Linked DNA regions of Xenopus tropicalis. The protein of the gene in region 3 binds, or shares a complex with, the protein of the main gene of each other region. Links are inferred from orthologs where the notes say so. Each region holds a gene or a part of one and is shown on either strand. Other genes may lie near its edges.

The links. Proteins that work in one complex are often made in the same cells at the same time.
Region 1: the proteins of axin1 (region 3) and siah1 are in contact, whole or in part, in a crystal structure (PDB 5WZZ), measured with the Homo sapiens proteins. The link is inferred for Xenopus tropicalis from reciprocal best matches to the Homo sapiens genes AXIN1 and SIAH1. Residues at the interface, in NP_003493.1 of Homo sapiens: Pro378, Lys379, Glu380, Val381, Arg382, Val383, Glu384, Pro385, Gln386, Lys387; in NP_003022.3 of Homo sapiens: Cys130, Pro131, Ser154, Thr156, Leu158, Asp162, Ile163, Val164, Phe165, Leu166, Ala167, Thr168, Asp169, Val176, Asp177, Trp178, Val179, Met180, Asn272.
Region 2: the proteins of axin1 (region 3) and dvl2 are in contact, whole or in part, in a crystal structure (PDB 6JCK), measured with the Homo sapiens proteins. The link is inferred for Xenopus tropicalis from reciprocal best matches to the Homo sapiens genes AXIN1 and DVL2. Residues at the interface, in NP_003493.1 of Homo sapiens: Arg821, Tyr823, Lys825, Lys826, Glu830, Phe831, Val835, Val836, Phe837, Glu838, Glu839, Lys857, Glu859, Asp862; in NP_004413.1 of Homo sapiens: Lys15, Ile17, Tyr18, Glu23, Glu24, Thr25, Pro26, Tyr27, Leu28, Val29, Val46, Leu47, Gln48, Arg49, Pro50, Phe81, Arg84.

The regions. Positions count from the first base shown.
Region 1 is NC_030680.2:74,032,259-74,042,823, forward strand, and holds the start of siah1 (E3 ubiquitin-protein ligase SIAH1), read left to right. Parts: upstream 1-4,119; 5' UTR 4,120-4,328; exon of another isoform or gene 4,329-4,469; intron 4,470-5,786; exon of another isoform or gene 5,787-5,821; intron 5,822-9,295; 5' UTR 9,296-9,364; intron 9,365-10,565. UniProt on the Homo sapiens protein: E3 ubiquitin-protein ligase that mediates ubiquitination and subsequent proteasomal degradation of target proteins.
Region 2 is NC_030679.2:153,297,708-153,308,340, forward strand, and holds the start of dvl2 (segment polarity protein dishevelled homolog DVL-2), read right to left. Parts: upstream 6,447-10,633; 5' UTR 6,400-6,446; coding exon 6,239-6,399; intron 2,307-6,238; coding exon 2,237-2,306; intron 1-2,236. Other genes in the region: phf23 (PHD finger protein 23A), read left to right, coding at 7,158-7,194.
Region 3 is NC_030685.2:15,099,876-15,110,516, reverse strand, and holds the start of axin1 (axin-1), read left to right. Parts: upstream 1-5,729; 5' UTR 5,730-6,020; intron 6,021-10,641. UniProt on the Homo sapiens protein: Component of the beta-catenin destruction complex required for regulating CTNNB1 levels through phosphorylation and ubiquitination, and modulating Wnt-signaling.

The sequences.
Region 1 (10,565 bases), on a different chromosome or scaffold from region 3:
AAATCACAACACACACTGTACATGTTCCTATGCACTACACCTACATACAATTTTGCCATGACTATGCCATCCTTCCTATCAACGGGAGGTTCCCTTCAACAAGCTGCTACATGTTCTGTTTGTCTGCCAAGTTTCACCTCTGCCCTGAGATTTGTATGGTGTGTTTAACACACAGAACATGTGGAAACTTTTACTTGATGAACTATAATCATTTGTTCATTGATTCCTAATTTGCATCAGTATGTTTACGCTTAACACTTCAGGGCTCTTTTATAAAGGAAAGAGCCTTTTCCTTGTTTTGTGATTATTTATTTTACTTTGTTGATGGAACAGAATGGGGTTTGTTCATTCATAGTTGAATTCTATATATCTGTGCTTTTAGATGGCCCTTTATTATGCAGTAAAACTGTTTCCAGTTCCATAAGAATTGGGAAAAGAAAAACACCGTTACTGTATAACAGTCCAGGAATGTAAAAAACTGGATAGTTTTAGTAAAACAGAACAACCACAGTTTCAAATGCTACAGTATACAGAGCTTGCTTTATTTTTTAAGGCATTGCAATTAACCTGTTTAAGTTTTTTGAAGACTGGATGTTGTATGTAATAAAGCACTGTTGGACTGAGCTTCCTAAGGCCCACCAAAATAAGCTCAATATCTAGGGCCTGCCTAAGAAACATTAGATAAAATACACTAATCAGTATTGGTGCAACATGAAAATATGATGGAAAATGGTTCATGAGTAGAGAACCACATTTAAAAGGAGACAGAGAGAAGATGGAAAGGCATTTTGGCATTTTACTGCCTATAGGTTAGCCACATTAGTGCCACCTAGGACTCTATATATTTTCTGCAGAAAGCTTTACCATACCTGAGTAAAGAGCCCTAATAGCTCCTTCCGTTTAAGATAGTAACTGCCATTTTAGCTTGGTCTTTGTAGCTTCCTGCTGCAGCTCTAACTGTAGCTCAGATCACACATTCCTAAGGGAGGGGGGAGTGAGTTATTATGAATTATTATGGGAGGGGGAGCAGGAGAAGGGAGGGGGAGAGGGAGAGAGGCGAGAACTGCACAGGTTTGTGCCCCAAACCTAAAGGAGCCCTAACAGAGAGGAAATCTGATACTGAAGAACATGTTTACAAAAAAATGAGACAGGTAATCTGTGTTTCTTTTGATAGAGGACTCAGTGTAACTTTTCTGTGAGTGCTTATGGCTGTATTTACATAGACCTTTCTGATACAGCTTACTTAGTTTTTACCTTTTGTCCTTTAACTTTTCAACAGCTAAGTCTCTGGTCCCCGGGACCAGAAGCTCAGTAAGCAGAAGGGCTACCGCAACCCACTTCCATGCCTGCACCTTACCTAAAAGTTTTCTCAGCAGGCCCCCCTGTACTGGCTTGTACTACTTTTAGTACGCAGCCCCCCAGAGTGTGTCTGGGGGGCTGCATGGCCTAGTGCTGAAGCACTATTGCACTTAATGCAGGAGCAGTTCTGTGGGAGGGAAGCATACAGTGGATATTAAAAATCTACACACCCCTGATAAAATGTCAGGTTCCTGCGCTGTACAAAAATCATGGAAAGTTAAATCATTTCAGACCTTTTTCCACCTTTAATGTGACCTATAAACTGTACCACTCAATTGAAAAACAAACTGAAATCTTTTAGGTGGAGGGAAGAAAACCAAAAAAACTAAAATAATGTGGTTGCATAAGTGTGCACACCCTTAAACTAATACTTCGTTGAAGCACGTTTTGATTTTATTACAGCACTCAGTCTTTTTGGGTATGAGTCTATCAGCATGGCACATTTTGACTTTGCAAGATTTGCCCACTCTTCAAATCTGTCAGATTGCGAGCGCATCTCCTGTGCACAGCCCTCTTCAGATCACCCCACAGATTTTCAATCGGATTCAGGTCTGGGCTCTGGCTGGGCCATTCCAAAACTTTAATCTTCTTCCGGTGAAGCCATTCCCTTGTAAGAAAAGGCTTTCGTCTTGCCACTCTACCCCATAGCCCAGACATAAGAAGAATACAGGAGATTGTTGTCACATGTACCACACAGCCAGTACTTGCCAGTCCTGCAGCTCCTTTAATGTTACTGTAGGCCTCTTGGTAGCCTCCCTGACCATTTTGGAGGGACGTCCAGTTCTTGTTAATGTCACTGTTGTGCCATATTTTCTCCACTTGATGATGACTGTCTTCACTGTGTTCCATGGTATATCTAATGCCTTGGAAATTCTTTTGTACCCTTCTCCTGACTGATATCTTTTAACAATGAGATCCCTCTGATGCTTTGGAAGCTCTCTGTGGACCATGGCTTTTGCTGTGGGATGCGACTAAAAAAATGTCAGGAAAGACAAACTAGAGCAGCTGAACTTTATTTTGGGTTAATGAGAGGCACTTTAGATCATGGCAGGTGTATACTGACTCCTATTTAACATGATGTTGAATGTGATTGCTTAATTCTGAACACAGCTACATCCCCAGTTAGAAGAGGGTGTGCACACTTATATGCAACCACATTATTTAAGTTTTTTTGGTTTTCTTCCCTCCACCTAAAAAATTTCAGTTTGTTTTTCAATTGAGTGTTACAGTTTATAGGTCACATTAAAGGTGGAAAAAGTTCTGAAATGATTTATCTTTGTCTCATTTTTGTACAGTGCAGGAACCTGACATTTTACCAGGGGTGTGTAGACTTTTTATATCTACTGTATATAGTCATGGTACATTAATTTAATTTTCACTATGTTATATACTCAAAGTATATAGATATATGGTTATACCTTCAAACCAAAGGAAAGCTCCAACATAATAGCACTTTGTCAAATAGGCCAAATACAAAGGAAGCAGTAGCTATTAAATGGTATTCTCTTTTCTATCATAGGTTTAAAATCTTGCAATATATTACATGGGGATGCTCCACTGAAGTAAAATTGTTGCTGATTTTTGTATACACACTCCTCGTCTAGTTAGTTTTGAATCATATGAAATTTGGCAACAACGGGAACCAAATTTCCCAATTATCTTATATGTTTATGACATTATTGGGGTAAATTTCATTTTCCTTGTTTCTTCTATTGATTGTATCCATTCCCATTTCATTGGTGGAGGGTTTTTTCAATTTCCTAGGAACCAGTGTGCTTGCTGCTTGTAAATACTAATTTGTCTTGGACTATTCTTTTATTTACTCTAACAGAATAATGTTGATTCCATATTGTTGACATTATGAACACCTTTCTCCATCATGCCTCTGGCACTCAGAATACCATTTTTTTTAGACTGCTTAATATTTTTGGCACATGTGCATGTGAGACGTACAACGTGCTGGTGCGTTTTGTGCTCTTTTAACCCGGCACTTCTTCAGGCGACCTAAAAAACATTTTTTCCTAAAAGGATGTTATTTTTGCAATATATTATATGTATATCTATCTATATATATATATATAGAGAGAGAGAGAGAGAGAGAGAGAGAGATACACAAGACATACATTAAGACCATTGATTGCAAAAACATGGTCAGTGATGTCAACTCCATATTATAACTATGGGGCTTCCCTAGTGAGCAGGGCCTGAGGGCCAGTTAGGGCCCAACTGGGACAGATGTCTTTTTGCTCTTCTAATAATTCCTTGAGATCAGTTAGGGTGGGATTTTAAGTAGTCACTGGCTTACTGTCTTAGATATTACTGGAAACGTGGCTTTGATTAAGGCCCCGACCAAATGTTGCACCTTATTGAAATACCCTTAAAAATGTATTACACGATACTAATTCAGTCCCGTTTTTTTTTATTATTTTTGCGTTACGCTAAGAGTTAACTTAAAATAATGAATCGAAAGTCCCTTCAATGGTTCATTTGTTCCATAAAGCAGTAAGGTTGGCAGGCATCTGCTAACGACGACCGAGAGAGTATATAGATTCTTACAGCAGAACAAGCAAACAATTGCCATTTACCCGTGCAAATTGTTGGTAGGCGTGGTATACGCAAGAGGGCGTGGCTTTCTGCTCGACCATCTGAGGGCAGCCTAATCCGTGGCGGGAGCGCGCCGTGTTAGCGCGGGAGCAGTGACGCCACTCTTTGTGCCCGCGCACGCTCGCTCCCTCTGCAGTGTCTTTCTGTGGAAGTAGGGGGGGTGCGCGCACTCGGAGTACGGGGGACGGCGGCAGCTCCACAGAGATAAGGAGTGGGAAGCAGACCCGGTAAAGGAGCCGTCTTACCGGCGATAAAGGATTTTGTGACCTATCTTCCGGTATCCTGTGAGTGCGATAATTGGTGCGTCACAGTGGAAGCCGAACAGGAAGCGGCATAATAGCAAAGCGGATTCCCTCCTGGGGAAGGTGAGCGCGGCCCGTGTTCTATGAGATGGCAACACTGCATCGGGAGCCAGGATAGCTAAGCCACGGCCCTTCGGCTTTTGTCGTACCATGCAGATCGGGGATGCTGGGAGTTATGGTAGAGCTACATTTGGAGGGCCGCAGGTTGGACTCCGACGCTGTGTATAAATCCTGTCTCTCAGGCGCCCATGGGATAATGCACGGCAGGAGGAGGGGGTGGGGGAGCCCATATTGCTGTGTATGTGGGGGAAGGGTTAATGGATGTTTCCTACACGTGTGGCTATGACATATGTTTGCATACAGAGAAAGTGGCTGGCTGCTGCAGACCCCGACCTTTCTCTATTTGTTTTGTGGCTTTTTATGCAAATAATGTTGGCAAAAGGATTATATGGGTGTCTGCTTATAATGGTATGACATGGCAGCCCCATTGCTGTGGGTTTCTGCTCTTTCTTTCCTTCTGTCAAATACTCCCACATTGCATCATCAGCCCTGCTGCACTTGCACCTTATGGGTGTTCGGTGTTGAAGTGGCAATCTGGCAGCTCTGTCTGGCTAATGTAAATAATCAACACACCCTAACCGCATCATCAGCCATTTGTTAACCCCGGTCATTGTCCCTGCCTATGTAGCAGCCTGTATTGTTGCTTCTAGTGTTATTGTCTTGTTGCCAAACCAAGGCCTGTGGCCTAATCCCTCCTGTGTGTTTTCCCCTCCCCCTTTCCTGATCTGTGTCCTAATTCCCCCCCCCCCCCCCCAGAGAGAAATCACTCGCACTATAGCTGCCTTCCGTTCAATTGTACAAATCAAGGGGGTGCTGCTTCTTGTTGCAGACAATGCTTTTTTTGTGGATGTAGTGACATGTGATAGTTGCTGTGTTGTGAATCCTGGCATTTATGAATCCCCCCCCCCCCAGCTCTTGTACTACAATTCCCAACATTTGGCTGGAGTTGTACACCTATTTACATTATTTCCTTGTTGCTTATTATGGTTTAACAACTAGAGGAGGGGTTTAAGCGGACACCCTTAATTTCTTTCTCATAATTAATTATTTTTCATAAACACATGATTTCCAAAACATCCAATGAGAGTTGCATCCTGGGAATAGCACGGATTTAAGTGTAAGAGATGATGATGATGTACCTAATGCACAGTATCCTAGTACTCCTGCCCACATGTCGAAAACAGCGGTATTCATGTTGAGTTCTTGCGATGTAAAGGAATTTTTCTTTACAAACATTTCAGTTGTTGAGTGGTTATACCCTCTCTTTCGATAGCAAGAGTTATCAGTGCAGCCGCTAAGTGTGATGCATCCGGTCATAGCCTTGGAGTTGTTGTAACTGAGGAAGCACAAATGATTTCATTTATAGGTGATTGTTCTGTTTACTGTTTGTGATGCTGCTTAATTACTATAAATGATGCAACATTTGTGGCTTAATGAATTAATCCTCTGTTTTTAGATTGTCTGTTCAACAGCACTCGGATACATGCTTCATTAGGGTACGCACCTTTATTGTATATCTCTTCTTCCTTATGCAGCTCATTTTAAAGATTAAGTGATAAAGATGAGATGCAAAATGGTGCTGCTAACACATTTTTTTTTTTTAATGCTGTATTGAAAATATTTTTTGCTTTAGAGCTTAGAAGCTACAAAAAGCAATACATTTCTTAGAGCTGGTGGGTAGGAAGTTGTGTTGAGGTAAGGGATCTATTTTTTGGATACCCATTATTCTAAAAGCGTTGACATTACACAGTTTCCTCCTCAAGCAGACGGTTACTCACTTTTGATGGATTTGCCTTTCCTCTGCAATAAGACTATAACTGTTACTTGATTTTAAGCTAGCATAAATCCATGTTGGAAATCAATTCTATTAGTTATTTAATGTTTAAAGTGTTTTAAACATAAGGCCATGGTGCCTCATAGTGATAAAACACCCCTTAACCTGGAAAACTCCAGAACTATGAATAATCAATATTAATTCTCAAATGTATTTCTCTTCTGGTGCCCTTTTCCATTTTGTTTACAGTGAGTTTGTATTAACTATTTGCCTAGTGTTTTGTATAGGGATGCATGGAAATTAGCAATTTGGTATTCGTCCGAATCCCTTAATTCTTGGGTATGGATTCACCCAAACCTGGAAGTTCCCAAAGATGAAGTTGGAAACACCGGTGTGCACGCTTCGTGTACAAGGCAAATTTTCTCCACCAGATTAATTTTGGCCAGACTGCTAAAAGTAGCCAATTCAGTGCATTCCTAGTTTTACTTAAGATTATATATTGTTTTTGTTAATCTCTTAAAAGGAAGAAGGTTGTTTAATAAAGAGCTCCTTATATGTAAAGTTGGAAAGGGCTGGCCATGTTTTAGGCTGAGGGTACACAGAGTGTTTCCTCTCCTGCTCTTAGCCTGAGTTTTTTTTTTTTCTGGTTTCGCATTTTCAGATCAATTCTTACTCTGCTCTACTTTGTGTAGCTGGGCAGAGGCGGAAGCTGCACTTGTCAATGCAGTTTTACTGAGGTGCATAAGGGAGCGGATCCACTTCTGAAATAAACACAGTTTTAGGTAGAAATACTCAACGTGTGCCTGCACCTGAGCGTATTCAATGCTTTTTGGTGCAGGCACAAGGAAGGGCAAGCGTAGGGCAAGCGTAGGGCAAGCGTTTTTCGGCTTGCTGAGAATACGCAACGTGTGGCATTAGCCTTATGTGAACTGTTTATTATAGGGTAACATCAGCTGTTTACATTGCACACGCATGGGGCTTGGATAAAATGTTGGTACTGTATGCTTGTGTTCATGTGGGGCCCCAAAGTTTCTGATGGCAAGTCGCCGGCGGGATGGCAGACGCGGCGGGGCGATTCGCGCGAAATCGCTCCGCCGCATGTGCCATCCCGCCGGCGACTTACATGTTCGCCGGTGGGATGGCAGGGGTAGGCAACTCGGGGAGATTAGTCGCCCGCGAACAGGGAGTTAATCGCGGGCGACTAATCTCCCCCCGTGTGCCAGAGCCCTTAGCCCTACAGAGACCATTCTATCTTAAAAAAGCAAACTCCAGATTCCAAAGGGGGGATAGGGGGGTGGTAGCACAGCTTAAAACTACAAAATATATACACACACATATACCTTTTAAAAAAAAAAAAAAATGAACATATGTATGTATATAAGTGTATATTGATGCAGCCAATATCTGCCCTTTGTATGGGCACCTTGAAGGTGTAAATGATGTTGGAGGCATTGGCCACATTGTTTCTAGCAGGGACCCTAACCAGTAATAGTTCTGCCTGTGCTAGACAACAGCAGTGTGACTTATCTAGTATTGGCATTCAGGATCCTCATAGAAGCACTTACTTGTAACTGCAATTAAGTTTGTGATTCCCAGTTTATGCAGATATTAGACTGGTTTTATGTTAAGTTTAAATCCCCTTGAAGATAGAATTTTATGTTGTAAGGGGGTTTGCTTGGAATCTTATAAGCAGCCACCAGAAAGAGTAAAGACTATGGGTCACTAATGTCCACTCCATGTGCCATTGTTTGTCCAAGATAATCTGTTTTTTCATCCACAATCCCATTATTATATTATAGGATTACATGATAGCTTTTCACAGTTGCTGCTGGAGGGGTTTCCATGATGAGTGATGCTTTGAAAATAGTAAAAGTTTACCTTATTGCAACAGTCCCCAACCAATGGTTTGTGACATGTTGTCCCAGTGTCTTAAAAACAGGTGCCCATTTGTAATTTTTTAGCTTGGAGATAAGTTTGGAAGCACAGAGAGACATTTTTACTCCAATCAGAGCCTCCTGCTGTGGCAGCAGTGCACATGGAGCTATCAAGTAGCCAATCACAGCCCTTATTTTGCATCATCAAGGACCTTTTTTTTAATGCTTTTATGACTCGCCAACACTTTTACGTCTAAGCAAGTCTCACAAGTAAAAAAGTTTGGGGATCCCTGCCTTATTATATGTATGTTTATTATGTTTATGGCCCAGCTTTATAATTTACTGTATATCTTGATTGGTTTTATTTCTTTTTGTCTGTGCATCAGTTCAGATTTTGCCTTACCTTTATTAAGCAAATCGGTTGCGGGAGTGTGTAAAACAAAAAGCACTGGAACACTGTGTAAAACATAAATTTAAAAGAGAATGGGATGATTTGCAAATTGTTTATATCCTATATTCAATTGAAAATAGTACAGAAACAACATATTGTGTAGGAACTGATGCCCCTTCTGGTACCATTACATTTGAACTGTGCTCTGATAACAATGAGGATGGCCCTTAATTTCCGTGATGGCATCCATGATTTCCAAAAAGAATTTCAAATTCTTATTTATCAGAATGTCTTGCTGGATGGTACAGATGCATGGTAGAGTTTTTACTTGCATTTAGTATTTCAGGCCAGATATCGGTCGGGCAGGCCCGTCGTTAGTGCCTATACATGGGCCGATTAGCTGCCGAATCGGTCTAAGGGACCGATATTGACAGCTAGAATCGGCCCGTGTATGGGGACCTTAAGTGGCCCAGCCTCTCTGGGATCTGCTCTTTTTGGCCTTACACCCTGTCTTTTGTTGCCTCTGTCTCAATTTTCTTAAAAACATGTTAATGGCATTAAATTCAAAATGAGAATTTGCTTTTCAGCAACACTCCTTGGTTTCACGATATGTTGTCTTTGTACTACTTGCAATGCAATATAGGGTTTAAATGATATGCAACTCAACTTTTTGCAGTGTTCCAACTAAAAAAACTGTTTAATCCAATATGTTAGAATCCATGATAAAAATATTTGTGTACATTTTAAATTAGTATTATGTTTTATTGAGTTTTATTTGTTGATGTTGACTAAAATAATATAGTCATTGTAAAGCAATTATGTATTCTCTTGGTTTTTTTAAGCAGTATCCAATGTCAATTATATTTAGACCTGTTTACCCATAAAATATAACATTTTCCTTATGTGCCATTTTTTTCTCTTTTTGGTATAGTTTGTGGGTTGGATGTTGCCTTCAGGAAGAACGGAGTGCACAGGACAAGAAATCCAGTGTAAAATAGAGGTAGGGCGAATGAAACATGGAAAAAAATATGTGGAAAAAAAATGAGATAGATTTTAGAACAGTAATGCTTTTATGCTAGTGGCACGAATAACTTTCAAAAGCTTATAATATAAAGAAAATTTTAGTTTTAATGGATGCAGAGGTACTTTTTATATTATGGTGTTTCCACTTTCTTGGAATTGCTTTTGTCTAATTTACACTGTGTGTGTGTGTGTATATGTATGTATGCATATATACATGGAACATTGTAACAACACACAACATTGCAGTACCATCAGTGACATAATTTTTATTGGATATCAAAGTTGCTGCTCATTATGGTATAAAACATTTATATGCCCAGTTGCCATCAAGGGACAGCACATTTTAGGAGGAACAGCTATTTGAACTGGTGCTCATAACCACTACTTTTTTGTTTTGCTCTGTGCTCTTCCTGGTAATGGTAATGTTTTAGCAGTAACCTCAATAATTCACTATCATACACCAAGTTAATGCAGAGCACGCTTCCTGCTACCAGTACTACAAAGTGTGCAGCTGGTTTACTATGTTTATTGCATTGTTGGGTAATCACCAATATGTAATAATCTGCATAGCTCCTAGTATGGGTTTGAACAAAATGAGTAATCTCCACCCATGTAGATTAAATGGTACAAATGGAAACCCTTATTTTACAAGCAGTTTTTTACCATGTGCCTGGCCATAATTTGATAGTTTAATTTGTTGTAATGTGGTGCGGTTGTGTATAGGGTTGCCATCCCACGCGTTTTATTTTTAGGGATTCTGAAATAAAATTGTTAAAGGGCTTATATTGTTTGCTTTATTGTTACATAATACAGTGTAGAAATAGGAAATTTGTTGTTTGCCTTAGAGATATTGTATCTAGTTAAGGTTGCCATACCTGGGGAGATATAAGCTGCTGATTTGGGTCTTTCAGACCAATTTGGCATCTTATCTGCCTGTGTATGGGGCCCTCTGACAGGCCTCCCTGACTGATATCTGGCAAAGAATCAGCCAGATGGCAATGGAGCAGGCTTGCTTTTGCCATTCGAGGGTCACTTTGGGGTCGAGGGCTACATTGGTTCGTTGATGCATTCCTCGTTCTGACGGCTCTTATTCCCGTCATTTTTTACATCAGTCTTTGGCCCTAACTATCTAATTAGCCCGGTTTCGGGAGAAATATTCATTTGTTTGGTAATCCTGC
Region 2 (10,633 bases), on a different chromosome or scaffold from region 3:
ACAGGCACCCAACCGGCGCCACACAGGCACCCAACCGGCGCCACACAGGCACCCAACCGGCGCCACACAGGCACCCAACCGGCGCCACACAGGCACCCAACCGGCGCCACACAGGCACCCAACCGGCGCCACACAGGCACCCAACCGGCGCCACAGGCCCACCGGCGCCACCGGCCCAACCGGCGCCACACAGGCACCCAACCGGCGCCACACAGGCACCCACCGGCGCCACACAGGCACCCAACCGGCGCCACACAGGCACCCAACCGGCGCCACACAGGCACCCAACCGGCGCCACACAGGCACCCAACCGGCGCCACACAGGCACCCAACCGGCGCCACACAGGCACCCAACCGGCGCCACACAGGCACCCAACCGGCACATAACTATAAACCCAGTGAGAATGAGGAATGAATGGATATTGGGGAGTTGTATCAGGAGTCAGAACCAGCAGTGCAGGGAAGGGAAAGGGACAGACACAGTGACAGTTACACATAACTATAAACCCAGTGAGAATGAGGGATGAATGGATATTGGGGAGTTGTATCAGGAGTCAGAACCAGCAGTGCAGGGAAGGGAAAGGGACAGACACAGTGACAGTTACACATAACTATAAACCCAGTGAGAATGAGGAATGAATGGATATTGGGGAGTTGTATCAGGAGTCAGAACCAGCAGTGCAGGGAAGGGAAAGGGACAGACACAGTGACAGTTACACATAACTATAAACCCAGTGAGAATGAGGGATGAATGGATATTGGGGAGTTGTATCAGGAGTCAGAACCAGCAGTGCAGGGAAGGGAAAGGGACAGACACAGTGACAGTTACACATAACTATAAACCCAGTGAGAATGAGGGATGAATGGGTATTGGGGAGTTGTATCAGGAGTCAGAACCAGCAGTGCAGGGAAGGGAAAGGGACAGACACAGTGACAGTTACACATAACTATAAACCCAGTGAGAATGAGGGATGAATGGGTATTGGGGAGTTGTATCAGGAGTCAGAACCAGCAGTGCAGGGAAGGGAAAGGGACAGACACAGTGACAGTTACACATAACTATAAACCCAGTGAGAATGAGGAATGAATGGATATTGGGGAGTTGTATCAGGAGTCAGAACCAGCAGTGCAGGGAAGGGAAAGGGACAGTGACAGTTACACATAACTATAAACCCAGTGAGAATGAGGGATGAATGGATATTGGGGAGTTGTATCAGGAGTCAGAACCAGCAGTGCAGGGAAGGGAAAGGGACAGACACAGTGACAGTTACACATAACTATAAACCCAGTGAGAATGAGGGATGAATGGATATTGGGGAGTTGTATCAGGAGTCAGAACCAGCAGTGCAGGGAAGGGAAAGGGACAGACACAGTTACACATAACTATAAACCCAGTGAGAATGAGGGATGAATGGATATTGGGGAGTTGTATCAGGAGTCAGAACCAGCAGTGCAGGGAAGGGAAAGGGACAGACACAGTGACAGTTACACATAACTATAAACCCAGTGAGAATGAGGAATGAATGGATATTGGGGAGTTGTATCAGGAGTCAGAACCAGCAGTGCAGGGAAGGGAAAGGGACAGACACAGTGACAGTTACACATAACTATAAACCCAGTGAGAATGAGGGATGAATGGATATTGGGGAGTTGTATCAGGAGTCAGAACCAGCAGTGCAGGGAAGGGAAAGGGACAGTGACAGTTACACATAACTATAAACCCAGTGAGAATGAGGGATGAATGGATATTGGGGAGTTGTATCAGGAGTCAGAACCAGCAGTGCAGAGAAGGGAAAGGGACAGTGACAGTTACACATAACTATAAACCCAGTGAGAATGAGGGATGAATGGATATTGGGGAGTTGTATCAGGAGTCAGAACCAGCAGTGCAGGGAAGGGAAAGGGACAGTGACAGTTACACATAACTATAAACCCAGTGAGAATGAGGGATGAATGGGTATTGGGGAGTTGTATCAGGAGTCAGAACCAGCAGTGCAGGGAAGGGAAAGGGACAGACACAGTGACAGTTACACATAACTATAAACCCAGTGAGAATGAGGGATGAATGGGTATTGGGGAGTTGTATCAGGAGTCAGAACCAGCAGTGCAGAGAATGAGGAATGGATATAGGGAAGGGGATCAGAATGACATTTAGGCAAAAGAAGTGCTATGGGGTATTTCCCAGAAGGCCTCACCCAGGAACAGAGGGGGGGGGGGGGGGGTACCGGGCACTTACCCACGACACCACACGGCCATTAAAGCAGGGCAGCTTGGCATTGTCATCCGATATCTCCTCCTTAACTACCCTGCAATGAGATTAGAGAGGTAATTACCCCCATAGGGGTCATAAGGCACCTCCTATTCCTACAAATATACAGAGAGGGAATGTTCTGGGCACACAATAAGCTCCGCCCCCATACTGTACTGTCTAAGGGAAACACTATGGCACCCCCTACCCATATGTATAAATACAAATATACAGAGAGGGAATGTTCTGGGCACACAATAAGCTGTACCCCCATACTGTACTGTCTAAGGGAAACACTATGGCACCCCCTACCCATATGTATAAATACAAATATACAGAGAAGGAATGTTCTGGGCACACAATAAGCTGTACCCCCATACTGTACTGTCTAAGGGAAACACTATGGCACCCCCTACCCATATGTATAAATACAAATATACAGAGAGGGAATGTTCTGGGCACACAATAAGCTGTACCCCCATACTGTACTGTCTAAGGGAAACACTATGGCACCTCCTACCCATATGTATAAATACAAATATACAGAGAGGGAATGTTCTGGGCACACAATAAGCTCCGCCCCCATACTGTACTGTCTAAGGGAAACACTATGGCACCCCCTACCCATATGTATAAATACAAATATACAGAGAGGGAATGTTCTGGGCACACAATAAGCTCCGCCCCCATACTGTACTGTCTAAGGGAAACACTATGGCACCCCCTACCCATATGTATAAATACAAATATACAGAGAAGGAATGTTCTGGGCACACAATAAGCTGTACCCCCATACTGTACTGTCTAAGGGAAACACTATGGCACCTCCCTACCCATATGTATAAATACAAATATACAGAGAAGGAATGTTCTGGGCACACAATAAGCTGTACCCCCATACTGTACTGTCTAAGGGAAACACTATGGCACCCCCTACCCATATGTATAAATACAAATATACAGAGAAGGAATGTTCTGGGCACACAATAAGCTGTACCCCCATACTGTACTGTCTAAGGGAAACACTATGGCACCCCCTACCCATATGTATAAATACAAATATACAGAGAAGGAATGTTCTGGGCACACAATAAGCTGTACCCCCATACTGTACTGTCTAAGGGAAACACTATGGCACCCCCTACCCATATGTATAAATACAAATATACAGAGAAGGAATGTTCTGGGCACACAATAAGCTGTACCCCCATACTGTACTGTCTAAGGGAAACACTATGGCACCTCCTACCCATATGTATAAATACAAATATACAGAGAGGGAATGTTCTGGGCACACAATAAGCTCCGCCCCCATACTGTACTGTCTAAGGGAAACACTATGGCACCCCCTACCCATATGTATAAATACAAATATACAGAGAGGGAATGTTCTGGGCACACAATAAGCTGTACCCCCATACTGTACTGTCTAAGGGAAACACTATGGCACCTCCTACCCATATGTATAAATACAAATATACAGAGAGGGAATGTTCTGGGCACACAATAAGCTGTACCAGATATTAGGACTGAGGGGGTACATAACATTGGTAGGGGCAGTTATGAGGCAGACATTAGGGCTGAGGGGGTACATAACAGTAGTAGGGGCAGTGGGCAGTTACTGGGGCAGTTATCAGGCAGACATTAGGGCTGAGGGGTAAATATCAGTAGTAGGGGCAGTTAGTGGGGCAGTTATCAGGCAGACATTAGGGCTGAGGGGTAAATAACAGTAGTGGGGGCAGTTACTGGGGGCAGTTACTGGGGGCAGTTACTGGGGGCAGTTACTGGGGGCAGTTACTGGGGGCAGTTACTGGGGGCAGTTACTGGGGCAGTTATCAGGCAGACATTAGGGGTGAGGGGGTAAATATCAGTAGTAGGGGCAGTTAGTGGGGCAGTTATCAGGCAGACATTAGGGCTGAGGGCTGAGGGGTAAATAACAGTAGTGGGGGCAGTTACTGGGGCAGTTACTGGGGGCAGTTACTGGGGGCAGTTACTGGGGGCAGTTACTGGGGGCAGTTACTGGGGGCAGTTACTGGGGGCAGTTACTGGGGGCAGTTACTGGGGGCAGTTATCAGGCAGACATTAGGGGTGAGGGGGTAAATATCAGTAGTAGGGGCAGTTAGTGGGGCAGTTATCAGGCAGACATTAGGGCTGAGGGGTAAATATCAGTAGTAGGGGCAGTTAGTGGGGCAGTTATCAGGCAGACATTAGGGCTGAGGGGTAAATAACAGTAGTGGGGGCAGTTAGTGGGGCAGTTATCAGGCAGACATTAGGGCTGAGGGGTAAATATCAGTAGCAGGGGGCAGTTACTGGGGCAGTTATCAGGCAGACATTAGGGGTGAGGGGTAAATATCAGTAGTAGGGGCAGTTACTGGGGCAGTTAGTGGGGGCAGTTATCAGGCAGACATTAGGGGTGAGGGGTAAATAACAGTAGCAGGGGGCAGTTACTGGGGCAGTTATCAGGCAGACATTAGGGGTGAGGGGTAAATATCAGTTGTAGGGGCAGTTAGTGGGGCAGTTAGTGGGGGCAATTATCAGGCAGACATTAGGGCTGAGGGGTAATTATCAGTAGTGGGGGCAGTTAGTGGGGCAGACATTAGGGCTGAGGGGTAAATAACAGTAGTAGGGGCAGTTACTGGGGCAGTTATCAGGCAGATATTAGGGGTGAGGGGTAAATATCAGTAGTAGGGGCAGTTAGTGGGGCAGACATTAGGGCTGAGGGGTAAATATCAGTAGTAGGGGCAGTTAGAGGGGCAGTTAGTGGGGCAGACATTAGGGCTGAGGGGTAAATATCAGTAGTGGGGGCAGTTAGTGGGGCAGTTATCAGGCAGACATTAGGGCTGAGGGGTAAATATCAGTAGTAGGGGCAGTTACTGGGGCAGTTATCAGGCAGACATTAGGGGTGAGGGGTAAATAACAGTAGCAGGGGGCAGTTACTGGGGCAGTTATCAGGCAGACATTAGGGCTGAGAGGTAAATATCAGTAGTAGGGGCAGTTACTGGGGCAGTTATCAGGCAGACATTAGGGCTGAGGGGTAAATATCAGTAGTGGGGGCAGTTAGTGGGGCAGTTATCAGGCAGACATTAGGGGTGAGGGGGTAAATATCAGTAGTGGGGGCAGTTAGTGGGGCAGTTATCAGGCAGACATTAGGGCTGAGGGGTAAATATCAGTAGTAGGGGCAGTTAGTGGGGCAGTTATCAGGCAGACATTAGGGCTGAGGGGTAAATATCAGTAGTAGGGGCAGTTAGTGGGGCAGTTATCAGGCAGACATTAGGGCTGAGGGGTAAATATCAGTAGTAGGGGCAGTTAGTGGGGCAGTTAGTGGGGCAGTTATCAGGCAGACATTAGGGCTGAGGGGTAAATATCAGTAGTAGGGGCAGTTAGTGGGGCAGTTATCAGGCAGACATTAGGGGTGAGGGGTAAATAACAGTAGCAGGGGGCAGTTAGTGGGGCAGTTATCAGGCAGACATTAGGGCTGAGGGGTAAATATCAGTAGTAGGGGCAGTTAGTGGGGCAGTTATCAGGCAGACATTAGGGCTGAGGGGTAAATATCAGTAGTGGGGGCAGTTACTGGGGGCAGTTACTGGGGGCAGTTACTGGGGGCAGTTATCAGGCAGACATTAGGGCTGAGGGGTAAATATCAGTAGTAGGGGCAGTTAGTGGGGCAGTTATCAGGCAGACATTAGGGCTGAGGGGTAAATATCAGTAGTGGGGGCAGTTACTGGGGGCAGTTACTGGGGGCAGTTACTGGGGGCAGTTACTGGGGGCAGTTATCAGGCAGACATTAGGGCTGAGGGGTAAATATCAGTAGTAGGGGCAGTTAGTGGGGCAGTTATCAGGCAGACATTAGGGCTGAGGGGTAAATATCAGTAGTAGGGGCAGTTAGTGGGGCAGTTATCAGGTAGACATTAGGGCTGCAGAAGAAGCAGCAGGAGGGCAGGCCTGAAGGGGCGGGGCATGACCCCCAGGGGCCACAGGGGAGGGGCGTACCCGAAGTCCTGGTCCATGGCCTTGAAGAAATATTTGGCGTGGCCCCGGCCCAGCGCAGCCTTGAAGTCCCGCAGGCGGATCTCATTGGCCGGGACCGGAACCTTCACCAGGTACGGGGTCTCCTCCTCGTCCAGATGGTAAATGACTTTAGTCTCCGCCATCCTGCGGCCTAGCGCAACCCCAAGCCCCGGCCTCCCGTACTACCCGCTGCGGCCTCTACCGCCCACGAATCCCAGCAGCTCCCCAGAGCGGCGTGTGACGGAATGACGCACTTGCGGGGCGGGACTAACTAGGAGACGCCTCTCTGACAGGCCCACAGGGGCCAATCACAAGACTCTGCAAATTGCCGTTACGTTGTCGCACCACGCACTTCCCACAGACAGCGCTTTCCGCTAGCGCCAAGGGCGGGACAAAACTTACGGCGCTGGTCACGCCCAACAGCGGGTAGAGGACGCAAACTACATTTCCCAGCATGCATCACGACGCCTCGGTCCCTAATGCGCATGCGCTTCACGCCCCTCCCTTTCTGTGCTGATTAATAGCTAAGCGCGGGGGCTGCTGGGAGGGCTCAGTTGCGCAAGGTTTCCTGGGAGTTGTAGTTCTTATTCGGAGAACTTGGCTTTTTCGTTGGGGAGTGACCATGGTTCTTGAACTACAAGGACCGTAATGCTTTGCGCCGGCGGCTGAACTACATCTCTGGTGTTCCCTGCGACGGGAGAGCAGGCGGTTCGGGAGGGGTAGCAGCCCAAGTGGCAGGGTATAAGCCCCGGGGTGGGGGGGTACTTCTGTTAGTGAGGGGGGCAGTAGGGCCTGAACATTTGCCCCTAGGAGGGGCAGTTGGAGCTGTTCCATCCCCTGGCCGGAGACGATCGTGTGACGGAGTCTGTTTCTGCCCCGGAGGGGGTATCAGGGCTCGGAGATGCTGGAAACCACCATGGGGGAGGCCAGTCCTGAAGGTGAGTCGTGTGGGGAGGGGTAGGTCGGGCCGGTGGGGTAATTGGGGCAGAATGGGACAAAACTGCCCTTCCCAGGGGCGGATGGGGCACTTGGATCAAACTGGGGCTCAATATGTTGGGGCAGAAGCTTGGGGGGCAACGGGAGATAGTTACCCCGGGGGGGGTAGTTTCCAAGGTTTGGGGTAAATAACACATGGACGGGGCAGTTAAAAAGGTATAACAGGTAGTGGGGGGGCAATTATTGGGGTATATACTGTGTGTGGAAGGGGCAGTTAGTGGGGTATATACTGTGTGTGTGGAAGGGGCAGTTAGTGGGGTATATACTGTGTGTGTGGAAGGGGCAGTTAGTGGGGTATATACTGTGTGTGGAAGGGGCAGTTAGTGGGGTATATACTGTGTGTGGAAGGGGCAGTTAGTGGGGTATATACTGTGTGTGGAAGGGGCAGTTAGTGAGGTATATACTGTGTGTGGAAGGGGCAGTTAGTGGGGTATATACTGTGTGTGTGGAAGGGGCAGTTAGTGGGGTATATACTGTGTGTGGAAGGGGCAGTTAGTGGGGTATATACTGTGTGTGTGGAAGGGGCAGTTAGTGGGGTATATACTGTGTGTGGAAGGGGCAGTTAGTAGGGTATATACTGTGTGTGGAAGGGGGCAGTTAGTAGGGTATATACTGTGTGTGTAAGGGGCAGTTAGTGGGGTATATACTGTGTGTGGAAGGGGCAGTTAGTGGGGTATATACTGTGTGTGGAAGGGGCAGTTAGTGGGGTATATACTGTGTGTAAGGGGCAGTTAGTGGGGTATATACTGTGTGTAAGGGGCAGTTAGTGGGGTATATACTGTGTGTGGAAGGGGCAGTTAGTGGGGTATATACTGTGTGTGGAAGGGGCAGTTAGTGGGGTATATACTGTGTGTGTGGAAGGGGCAGTTAGTGAGGTATATACTGTGTGTGGAAGGGGCAGTTAGTGGGGTATATACTGTGTGTGTGGAAGGGGCAGTTAGTGGGGTATATACTGTGTGTGGAAGGGGCAGTTAGTGGGGTATATACTGTGTGTGGAAGGGGCAGTTAGTGGGGTATATACTGTGTGTGTGGAAGGGGCAGTTAGTAGGGTATATACTGTGTGTGGAAGGGGGCAGTTAGTGGGGTATATACTGTGTGTGTGGAAGGGGCAGTTAGTGGGGTATATACTGTGTGTGGAAGGGGCAGTTAGTGGGGTATATACTGTGTGTGTGGAAGGGGCAGTTAGTGGGGTATATACTGTGTGTGGAAGGGGCAGTTAGTGGGGTATATACTGTGTGTGGAAGGGGCAGTTAGTGGGGTATATACTGTGTGTGGAAGGGGCAGTTAGTGGGGTATATACTGTGTGTGGAAGGGGGCAGTTAGTGGGGTATATACTGTGTGTGTGGAAGGGGCAGTTAGTAGGGTATATACTGTGTGTGTAAGGGGGCAGTTAGTGGGGTATATACTGTGTGTGGAAGGGGCAGTTAGTGAGGTATATACTGTGTGTGGAAGGGGGCAGTTAGTGGGGTATATACTGTGTGTGGAAGGGGGCAGTTAGTGGGGTATATACTGTGTGTGGAAGGGGGCAGTTAGTGGGGTATATACTGTGTGTGGAAGGGGCAGTTAGTGGGGTATATACTGTGTGTGGAAGGGGCAGTTAGTGGGGTATATACTGTGTGTGTAAGGGGCAGTTGGTGGGGTATATACTGTGTGTGGAAGGGGCAGTTAGTGGGGTATATACTGTGTGTGGAAGGGGGCAGTTAGTGGGGTATATACTGTGTGTGTGGAAGGGGCAGTTAGTGGGGTATATACTGTGTGTGGAAGGGGGCAGTTAGTAGGGTATATACTGTGTGTGGAAGGGGCAGTTAGTGGGGTATATACTGTGTGTGGAAGGGGCAGTTAGTGGGGTATATACTGTGTGTGGAAGGGGCAGTTAGTGGGGTATATACTGTGTGTGGAAGGGGCAGTTAGTGGGGTATATACTGTGTGTGTGTAAGGGGCAGTTAGTGAGGTATATACTGTGTGTGGAAGGGGCAGTTAGTGGGGTATATACTGTGTGTGTGTGGAAGGGGGCAGTTAGTGGGGTATATACTGTGTGTGGAAGGGGCAGTTAGTGGGGTATATACTGTGTGTGGAAGGGGCAGTTAGTGGGGTATATACTGTGTGTGGAAGGGGCAGTTAGTGGGGTATATACTGTGTGTGGAAGGGGGCAGTTAGTGGGGTATATACTGTGTGTGGAAGGGGCAGTTAGTGGGGTATATACTGTGTGTGTGGAAGGGGCAGTTAGTGGGGTATATACTGTGTGTGTGTAAGGGGCAGTTAGTGAGGTATATACTGTGTGTGGAAGGGGCAGTTAGTGGGGTATATACTGTGTGTGTGTGGAAGGGGGCAGTTAGTGGGGTATATACTGTGTGTGGAAGGGGCAGTTAGTGGGGTATATACTGTGTGTGGAAGGGGCAGTTAGTGGGGTATATACTGTGTGTGGAAGGGGCAGTTAGTGAGGTATATACTGTGTGTGGAAGGGGGCAGTTAGTGGGGTATATACTGTGTGTGGAAGGGGGCAGTTAGTGGGGTATATACTGTGTGTGGAAGGGGCAGTTAGTGGGGTATATACTGTGTGTGGAAGGGGCAGTTAGTGGGGTATATACTGTGTGTGTAAGGGGCAGTTGGTGGGGTATATACTGTGTGTGGAAGGGGCAGTTAGTGGGGTATATACTGTGTGTGGAAGGGGGCAGTTAGTGGGGTATATACTGTGTGTGTGGAAGGGGCAGTTAGTGGGGTATATACTGTGTGTGGAAGGGGGCAGTTAGTAGGGTATATACTGTGTGTGGAAGGGGCAGTTAGTGGGGTATATACTGTGTGTGGAAGGGGCAGTTAGTGGGGTATATACTGTGTGTGGAAGGGGCAGTTAGTGGGGTATATACTGTGTGTGGAAGGGGCAGTTAGTGGGGTATATACTGTGTGTGTGTAAGGGGCAGTTAGTGAGGTATATACTGTGTGTGGAAGGGGCAGTTAGTGGGGTATATACTGTGTGTGTGTAAGGGGCAGTTAGTGGGGTATATACTGTGTGTGGAAGGGGCAGTTAGTGGGGTATATACTGTGTGTGTGTGGAAGGGGGCAGTTAGTGGGGTATATACTGTGTGTGGAAGGGGCAGTTAGTGGGGTATATACTGTGTGTGGAAGGGGCAGTTAGTGGGGTATATACTGTGTGTGGAAGGGGCAGTTAGTGGGGTATATACTGTGTGTGGAAGGGGCAGTTAGTGGGGTATATACTGTGTGTGGAAGGGGGCAGTTAGTGGGGTATATACTGTGTGTGGAAGGGGCAGTTAGTGGGGTATATACTGTGTGTGTGGAAGGGGCAGTTAGTGGGGTATATACTGTGTGTGTGTAAGGGGCAGTTAGTGAGGTATATACTGTGTGTGGAAGGGGCAGTTAGTGGGG
Region 3 (10,641 bases):
AAAATATAAGAAAGTGGCTCAAGTGGTTTCCCTTTTACTAATAATGGGACTTTCTGTACTTGTAACACAAATAATCAGTTGGGACTGCAGTCAATAATTGATCACTAGTGCCACAAGCCCCAGGGCTTCCCATTACTCATAAAGGAAAGATATTAGAGGAAATCTCTGGTGTTTTTATAATGCTATTTTTTTATTCTTTTCCTAAAAACAAATAACTGTACGGACATTTAAAACCCCAAGGTCCAAATCTTGGGTCAGAGCCTCCGTAGGTCATTCCATAGTTACAGATATAGGGAAATATTAGTGTTTCTGCCATGGTTCTATGGATATCTTCGGGGACTGAGGTGAATGTTGCATGGTTGTTTCTCTTCTGCCCCAAAGGTCCAGCCCCACATTCAGGTTACCACTGAATTTTACTCGGCGACTGTAATAAACATCTAAAGGCCAGATACCCATTTTTTGAGTTTGCGATTGATAAAGATCTGCAATCACAAGCCAAATCGCAACTAAACTTGTTCAACTTTATTCTTTTCTCATTTGTGTGCCCCCCCACCCCCACCCCAGATCGCTAACTGGAATGGTTTAATCTCATTTTACTTTGTAAACGAAAAATTGAGTGCAAATAAAAGTGGAATTTTTCAAACCACACTGTGCTTTTTGGAAACTGGTAGGGCAAATGTGGCTGTATCAGTGGAGCGCAATGGAACGGTTTGGGAAGGTGTCCATTTCAGCAGTTATAACAAATACATGGTTTTCATTATCGCTGACTTCTAGAGTTTTTGAGATTTGTTGTTACTTGAATATATCGCGAAAATTCAAGCCTTAAAAACCACAAATCAAGACAGCACTTTTTTAAACATTAGTTTAATCGAAACGTCGAACGAACGCCACTATAATGAAGTATTCATGTTGTGGTGCCACCTCTTTTAGTTTTTGAGACGCAGTTGGCTTATTTATGCATTCCTTTGCTAATGGTTTTCCCTTCAACAGGGAAAAAAAGTTAGGTTGTGCACTTCACAAGTAAATATAAATTTTGTAAAAATTCACAAAATGCAAAAGAAAAGAATTTATGAAACAGAATTACCCCGACAATCGGTGCATCAGTGTGCGGATGTAGGTTCCTTAGATCTTCTTGTCGTAATGATATCAAACCTGTGTTTGCAGAGATTTCCGGGTAAGAGCACATGATTTAGTCTTCATGGCCGCAGCTCAGTTAGACCAGCATCTCATTATTTTCCCATGTCGGCTGATCATAGCCGGAATCACGAGCCAGCGACACCTGTGGCCAATTATAATGCCTCTGTCGTTCTTAAGCCTTAACTTCCTCTTCATGTTGTTGTTAGGCTCTCTGTCCATTACGACTTGTCTCATATTCAGAACTTCTGCCTGTCACACACACATCTCAACTGACCCTTCCAGATTGTTTTGCACGTGAACAAAGACCCCGCTCTAAAGACCTTTAGTGTGTTCTCCTGCAGGTCTGTGAATCAGCTGGCTTCTGATACATCGTTTCAGGAGTCAGAGTCCTCAGTACAGAGAATATAAACAATAAATTTACGCATTTCTTTAAAACCACAGAACAATTTTGTAATGAATGGACATTGGAGAAGTTTCATAAAACTGAATTTTCAATTAACATGCAAAAGAAAACAAAACAGTTTGTTTTCCATGTCCATTAAGGGCTCTGGCACACGGGGAGTTTACGCCACTTGCCATCCCACCGGCGACAATGTAAGTCCCCGGTAGGATGGCACATGCGGCAGAGCGATTTCGGGAAATCGCCAAAGTTGCCTCGCAACTTTCTAATTAGTCTTGTGGCCAATTAAAAATCCTGAAGGATAAACACTGGGTTTTAGGAAGTTTCCTCAATACTTACCTCCAGACGGGTGTGATTTATATGATGTAATGTCACGGTCTCATCTCTGAACAAAGACTCCGGGAGTGGGCAGTTGGGGCAGGGAGGTATGCTGCTGTGAGGGGGCCTGATGGGGCCAAATAGGTCGAAATGGCTTTAGGCTGGTCCTGGTTTTATTTGAAACGTGACCACTGTAATCTAAAAGCTATGATATAAAGATAGCTAGGATTTCAGTCATAAAGTACAAAGAACCTGCTGTTTTACAGAGAAGGAAGACGACTTTAGAACAGGCCCAAATACTGGCTGATAAAAGCTACTGACCAGCCCCTCCAGATTGGTATGCGTATGGGGCCCACCCAGCAGCCTACTTGACCGATATCTGGCTGAACATTAGCCACATATCTACTGGTCAGATTTCAAAGTTCCACCAGCTTCAGTAAGTTGAGGTGGTCCTATCCCATGAGGTCTTTATGGGCCTGCAGTACAATCCGATCTGGACTTGGGGCTAAATAATCAGATAATTCCAATTAGAGGCCACATTGTGGGTAGCCTTTTACCAAACTTAAAAGAAAACAAAAGGGTTAATCATGGGGGGGCAGGGTGGCAATATGTTAGGAACCCTTCGTTTTAGGGGGTATCAATCCTTCAAAGCTTGTAGCTAAGATCTTTGATGGTTAGTACAATGTATACCCAATAGAAAAATGCCACATGCTTGCTTTGCTAAAAGACCTATGAATATTTTTACGCACAATACCTGTTTTTCTGCTAGTTGCTATGCCAACCTGTGTTCAAAGGCGTAGGTGAGCCCCTCTCTTAATCTACAGGATAAATGGCAGCCCTTATTAGCAGTTTTAATATGCATTCCAGGTGAGCTGTATATGAAAGAGCACCCAACAGGTGGCCTATTCTTTATAAAGGGGTCAGAGGCTGGGGGCATGGAAAGTGCAATAAGAATACAAGGTGTATCTGAAAGCTGTCAGTGGGATAGTGGGTTACCTTTTAAAGGCACAACGCCCCAATTAGTCATGGGTGCATTCACTTTCTATCCAGCAGGTGTGAGGCCAAATCTATGGCCAGGCCGTAGGTGTTTTTGCAACTGCCCAAACAGATTCAGGAGCCATGTATCTTTTAATGTGCCTGGGAAAGGTTGAGTGGAGTTGGAGTGGCTGAGCCATTTTGGCTTCATGGTCTGTTCAGTGCTCTTAATTAAATAAAAAATACTGTCCTAAGCTACTTTCCAATATACCCTCATTAGTTTTTTTTAAGTTAGGCGTGAATGGAATTGCTTTTAAAAGCAGAATCTGTCTGTTTATATTCTCTGTACTGCAGGTTGGGGTGCCTGAAATAATGTAGCACAAACCAGCTCTTTAACAGACCTGGAGACCTGGCTTCTGTTACACTGCGGCTCAGCGCAGCAATGGCGGACGCGCCTATAGACATACATGCTCCAGGGTGATTTCCTTGGTGCTACAGCAAATCGTATGCCTTCCCCCTGCCATACCGGCCAAATGCAGCGCTAGCGGGAAAACAAGCGAAGGGCCACACAGGCTGGGTGGCATTGATAGGACGCGTTACCGTAACCTTTGTTGCCTCACTATTCCCACCTTTCAGAGACCGCACCAATGGAAGGTGGGAAATTACCTAAATGAAAACCACAAGTCCCAGAACCTCCCTAGCAGCCACTGACTACCACAAAGTGTGATTGTTGCCTCAAAATTTCCACCATACAGGGGCCCCACCAATGGAAGGGTGGGGGAAACTACATACATTGAAGCCCCTAACTCCCAGGTCCTCCATGTCGGCCATTGCCTAGCAGAAACATACTGTGAGACACAAAGGGGCCGATTCACTAAGGTAAGAATCCGAATCACGAAATCCAATCATTTCTGAAGATCGGAAATGTCACGAAAATTATTTTCGTTTGAATATGAAAATTTCATACGTACAGTCCAAAAGTTCTGAAATTTTCATATCCCAACGATAGTAAACGGCGCAAAACCCTTTCTGACTTTGAAACTTCAGTGCATGATTTTGGAAGCCTCCCATAGGACTCAATGGCACTCTGCAGCTCCAACCCGACCCAATGAAAGTCTCCCATAGGGCTCAATGGCACTCTGCAGCTCCAACCCGGCCCAAGGAAAGTCTCCCATAGGGCTCAATGGCACTCTGCAGCTCCAACCTGGCCCAAGGAAAGTCTCCCATAGGGCTCAATGGCACTCTGCAGCTCCAACCTGGCCCAAGGAAAGTCTCCCATAGGGCTCAATGGCACTCTGCAGCTCCAACCCGACCCAAGGAAAGTCTCCCATAGGACTCAATGGCACTCTGCAGCTCCAACCCGGCCCAAGGAAAGTCTCCCATAGGGCTCAATGGCACTCTGCAGCTCCAACCCGACCCAAGGAAAGTCTCCCATAGGGCTCAATGGCACTCTGCAGCTCCAACCCGGCCCAAGGAAAGCCTCCCATAGGGCTCAATGGCACTCTGCAGCTCCAACCCGGCCAAGGAAAGTCTCCCATAAGGCTCAATGGCACTCTGCAGCTCCAACCCCGCCCAAGGAAAGTCACCCATAGGGCTCAATGGCACTCTGCAGCTCCAACCTGGCCCAAGGAAAGCCTCCCATAGGGCTCAATGGCACTCTGCAGCTCCAACCCGACCCAAGGAAAGTCTCCCATAGGGCTCAATGGCACTCTGCAGCTCCAACCTGGCCCAAGGAAAGTCTCCCATAGGGCTCAATGGCACTCTGCAGCTCCAACCTGGCCCAAGGACAGTCTCCCATAGGGCTCAATGGCACTCTGCAGCTCCAACCCGGCCCAAGGAAAGCCTCCCATAGGGCTCAATGGCACTCTGCAGCTCCAACCCGGCCCAAGGAAAGTCTCCCATAGGGCTCAATGGCACTCTGCAGCTCCAACCCGGCCCAAGGAAAGTCTCCCATAGGGCTCAATGGCACTCTGCAGCTCCAACCCGGCCCAAGGAAAGTCTCCCATAGGGCTCAATGGCACTCTGCAGCTCCAACCCGGCCCAAGGAAAGTCTCCCATAGGGCTCAATGGCACTCTGCAGCTCCAACCCGGCCCAAGGAAAGTCTCCCATAGGGCTCAATGGCACTCTTTCCTTGGGCCGGGTTGGAGCTGCAGAGTGCCATTGAGTCCTATGGGAGACTTTCCTTGGGCCGGGTTGGAGCTGCAGAGTGCCATTGAGCCCTATGGGAGACTTTCCTTGGGCCGGGTTGGAGCTGCAGAGTGCCATTGAGCCCTATGGGAGACTTTCCTTGGGCCGGGTTGGAGCTGCAGAGTGCCATTAAGCCCTATGGGAGGCTTCCAAAATCATGCACAGAAGGTTTCAAAGTTAGAAAGGTTTTCGCGCCATTTACGATCATTCGGACCGTACCACAATATTTACGTATGACCACGATACAAATTTTTCGCGTTTTTAACGCACATCATAAATTATCGGATTTAATACGAATTTTTTTCTATTGAAGTCCAGAATTCGGACTTCGATAGACGGGCCCCAAAGCGTGATTGTTACTTTAGTTGCCTCAATATTCCCACCAATAGAAGGCTGGGAGACATTACCTACATTAAAAACCACAACTCCCAGCCCCCCCCTGGCAGCCATTGGCTAGCTTTGGAATACTAGGACATACACTACAGGACCACAATTCACCCCATAACCAGAGTAGTTCTTGTGGGAGCTACAGCCCAAAAGCTTCCTCACCAACTCTTACCATCCCTCCTCAGAGAACCCTCCCACACTGGGGCCCTAGGGCCCATGGCTGCCCTACATATACTATTCCCACCTCACAGACACCCCATATTAGAGCCGGGGAGCGCATCCCTGAGGTAAAAAGCGGAGAGCTGCTTGGAGTCACATGACTGCGCGTACCAGCGGGGCGGGAAAAATCGCGAGAAGCTGCGGGGCCGCGCATGTGAGGCGCGGGCACGCCAATGCGCACTCCCGCGGGTGCCGTGCACGGTGTTTCTCTCACACACTCACTCACTGTGTATCGCACTGTCCGGGGCATGGCCGCATCCCGGCGCTCTGCGCTCTCCTGTTTCCCGAGTATCCCTGCGCGGTGGCGGCTCCAGCTGGAAGCTTGATGGGTGGCTGCGGAGCGGAGGGAGAGGGCCCGGAACGGCTGGGCACAAGAGCCGGCTCAGGGCTGCCTGGGTGAGGAGCAAGGCCACACGGCTCTCTGTCTGTCTGTGTGTGTGTGAGAGGAACGGGGGGAGGAAACTTTCCAGGAGAGGCGGACGGATCCAGTTTGTAGGCCAGGCCCCGGCTTTGCCAGTACCGCTGGGCCGCATCTTACTGGGAAGCCCCGTACCCTGGCCCGTCTATAGGCATGCATGGGAACCCTGTGGCCCTGTACGTGGCTGTGGTAATAGAGTCCATCACAGGTTGCTCTGCTGCCCTTATTCCCAACATTGGGGCTCTGAATGCTTTGCTTTTCTGCTAGAGCATGCTGGGAAATGTAGTCCCAGGGATGAACATCACCAGACACTGAATGACTACATCTCTGGGCTCAGAGGGGTTACTGGGAGTTTTAATTCAGCATCATCCACAGGGCTGTATGGGGGATATCTGTCAGCTTTACTGGGGCTTTACTACATCCTTACTATATCTGGGGGGGGGGGACTATTTTGCAGGGATCCCATCATTAATGGGGGGGAGACAACTTATCTACGTGATAAGCTGTTAGTGGGGTGATGGGAGTTGTTTCACTGGCAAATGCACTGTGGCTGCAAACGATGGAGAATCCACAGCAGTGCGGTATTAGGGTGAAGACACACGGAGCTACTAGTAGCAGCTACTTGTCACGGCTACTATTATAGACAATGCTGATCATTTACTGATAATTGTCTCTACGTGTGTTTTAGCAGAGGCAATTCTCTGTATTGTCTATGGCAGGGGATTTTCTAGAGTTTAGTAGCCATGAAAAAGTAGCTGCTACTAGTAGCTCAGTGTGTCTTCACCCTAAGGGTAAAGACACACGGAGCTACTAGTAGCAGCTACTTGTCACGGCTACAAAAATAGACAATGCTGATCATTTACTGATAATTGTCTCTACGTGTGTTTTAACAGAGGCAATTCTCAGTATTGTCAGGGTATTTTCTGGTGTTTTGCAGCCATGACAAGAAGCTGCTACTAAGTAGCTCCATGTGTCTTCACCCTTAGGGTGAAGACACAGAACTACTAGTAGCTGCCACTGCCATAGACAGTGGTTTTGAAGTTATGTGTAAATGTAATTGGTATGGAAAAACGCTGCCTGGATGTTTGTATTCTCTGCACTGCTGGCTCTGACTTCTGCATAGCGGGGTGATGGGAGTTGTTTCACTAGCAAATGCACTGTGGCTACAAACGCTGGAGAATCAGCAGCAGTGCAGTATTAGGGTGAAGACACACGGAGCTACTAGTAGCAGCTACTTGTCATGGCTACAAAAATAAACAATGCTGATCATTTACTGATAATTGTCTCTGCGTGTGTTTTAGCAGAGGCAATTCTTAGTATTGTCAGGGTGTTTTCTGGTGTTTTGCAGCCATGACAAGAAGCTGCTACTAAGTAGCTCCATGTGTCTTCACCCTTAGGTAGCTGCCACTGCCATAGACAATACTGAGAATTGTCTTCTAAAACACACATAGAGACAATTATCAGTAAATTATCAGCATTGTCTATTTTAGTTGCTGCTACTAGTAGCTCTGAGTGTCTTGACCATTAAATCGATCATGGTGGGAATTGTATTCTGTGGGTTGTCCGGCAGTTTCACCATGGGTGGGAATTGTAGTTCAGCAAGGTGTTTATTGACCATTGCTCACTGTGTTCCATCACCTACCTTGGGCTTCTCACCCTTAAGGAAACAGGGGGGCTGCTGTGGCAATACCCGCAGGGCCACAGGTTGCTCATTGCTGCTGTAGGGACTAAGCCAGTTTATGTGTGGGTTGGGGGTATGATTGGCTTTATAGTTTTCGTTACAACTGCAGTTTTATGTAAGAAATGCTAAGGTACCGTGGGAGTGTGGGGTATTGTCAGTTCATGCATTAGCACTTTCCATGGTGCCCAATATATATTGGGGGCAGAAGTTCTCCGCATTCTGTGCATGTCAGAATCTGAATGCCGTAGCCAGACGCCTTGGGGGTGTGGGGGACCCTGTTTCTTGTGTTCCTACCTGCCTACCTGATCCATCGGCACCCAGTGCTTGGTATATTACTGATATATACTGATCATTTGCAAATAATCCTGCAAGGCTGTGTGCCCACTCCTGACTTATTATATCTGCTTTTGGTCTGACCAAAGAAATCTATCCTCATTGTTGGGGGGGAAATGTCTATTTATAAAAAAAAAAAAAGTGAATATATGTGTAATGTGATGTGTGTAAAAAAGAAAATATATATGTATAGTATATATCAAATTGGAATTAGAACTCTCAGGACCAGCAACTTCTTTGTTATATAATATTTGTATTTTTGACACATTATACAGAAGTCTTATAGTTATCAAGGAGAGATAGATATTTAAAATATATTTTCGTTGTAACTGACATGTAACTGTAAGCAGTATATACATTCATAAATGTCATTGGTTTTGAAGTTATGTGTAAATGTAATTGGTATGGAAAAACGCTGCCTGGGTGTTTGTATTCTCTGCACTGCTGGCTCTGACTTCTGAATCAGTATAGCAGAAACTATCGAGAGCAGAACTAACTTGTTTCAGGAGTCGGAACCAGAGAAAAGGAATGCAGACACATGTAGCTGGCTAGAAAGAGGATTTTTACACTGTGTGTGTGGCGAGTTAGTCTATTATAGCCCCCACTGGAAACAGTAAAAGGGATTGCCGGGCAGAAGGTGATGTCGCCTAGTGGTGCTGAGGAGTAGAACGTGAGCAGTTGCATGTCTTGGGATGGGTAATATAGTATTTTAGTGTCCCTGGTTATTGCTTTATGCTGTTTATCTCTGCGGCACGGTTCAAAGTACCAATAGCTTTAATGGCCCTGGCAATAGCAGGTTCATTCATTCAGATACAGCCTATCTGGGTATGCCTCGAGCAGGGGGGGAATCCCAGGGAGCCTCTAAGTCTGATACACAAGAACATTTGGCGTCACACTCACGAACACACCTTGCGAGCAACCCTTGTCCTCTGCAGTATCCAGCTGTATTGTGCCTTGCTGGCTATGGGTAATTGTGGCTGGGCAGTTAGTGATGGCCGCTGCAATATCCAGCTGTATTGTGCCTTGCTGGCTATGGGTAATAGTGGCTGGGCAGTTAGTGATGGCCGCTGCAATATCCAGCTGTATTGTGCCTTGCTGGCTATGGGTAATTGTGGCTGGGCAGTCAATGATGGCCTCTGCAATATCCAGCTGTATTGTGCCTTGCTGGCTATGGGTAATTGTGGCTGGGCAGTCAATGATGGCCGCTGCAATATCCAGCTGTATTGTGCCTTGCTGGCTATGGGTAATTGTATCTGGGCAGTCAATGATGGCTGCTGCAATATCCAGCTGTATTGTGCCTTGCTGGCTATGGGTAATTGTGGCTGGGCAGTCAATGATGGCCGCTGCAATATCCAGCTGTATTGTGCCTTGCTGGCTATGGGTAATTGTATCTGGGCAGTCAATGATGGCTGCTGCAATATCCAGCTGTATTGTGCCTTGCTGGCTATGGGTAATTGTGGCTGGGCAGTTAACGATGCCCGCTATGCTTGCTATTATGTGCTATTGCTACAGCTGCTTTCTAGCTGGCACGCTTCCTCTGGTCTTCAAGCTCACTACACGTTCAGTCCCAACTGGGTGTGTGACTATATTATGAACAGTGGCTGCAAGTTGTTTTTGCATTCAAAAATTAGTGTCACTGCTGCAGTTGCCCAACGAGGACTGGCATTGTCACAGGTTTTCACTAAAGCTTCTATTGTGTTACTCAACTGCAATAAACCCAACTGCCGGTCTGTGATAGTCGTGTAAGATAAGTCCATTTCTGTTTGGCAATTGTCGCTTTCATTGCTGGCCCCAGACTATTTGCAGCTTAACCTTGGCAGCAGTGGCATCCCAGAGGATCACTTGCCAGCCACACACTTCAAATACGCACTTCCATAATTCATTCATGTTGGGCTCTTGACTAGGTAAATGGAAATGGCATTCTGTTTATCGCTTTTTGCTTTCTGGTTCTGACTCTTGAAACAATGTAACATATGTCGGTTATCCTCAGGGTCTTGTTAGTGAGCTGGCTTCTGCTGCATTTTTAGGAGACAGAACCAGCAGTGCAAAGACTCAGAACTGCCCCACAGATTCTGTTATTAACAAAAGTTACACTAAGGGTGAAGACACACGGGCTACTAGTATTTGCTACTTTTTCACAGCTACTAAACAACATAAAATACCCTGCCAATAGACAACTGAGAATTGCCTCTTCTAAGGGCAGTGGCAAATGGGGAGATTAGTTGCGCCGTGACAGATCTTCGTTACTGCGGGCGACTAATCTCCCCGCAATACCATCCCACTGGCAAGAACGTAAATTGCCAATGGGATGGCATACGTGATGATTCATTTTCCCGAAGTTGCCTCTCAAGAAAACTTTGGGCGACTTCAGGAAAACTAAGTGACGTGTATGCCATCCCACCGCCGATTTACATTCATGCCGGTAGGTTGGCATTGCGAGGAGATTAAGACACATGTAGAGACAGTTATCAGTAAATGATCAGCATTGTCTATTTTAGTAGCAGGGACAAGTAGCTGCTACTAGTAGCTCTGTGTGTCTTCACCCTGCAGATAACTCTAAAGCCACTAAATATGTGTCATGAATG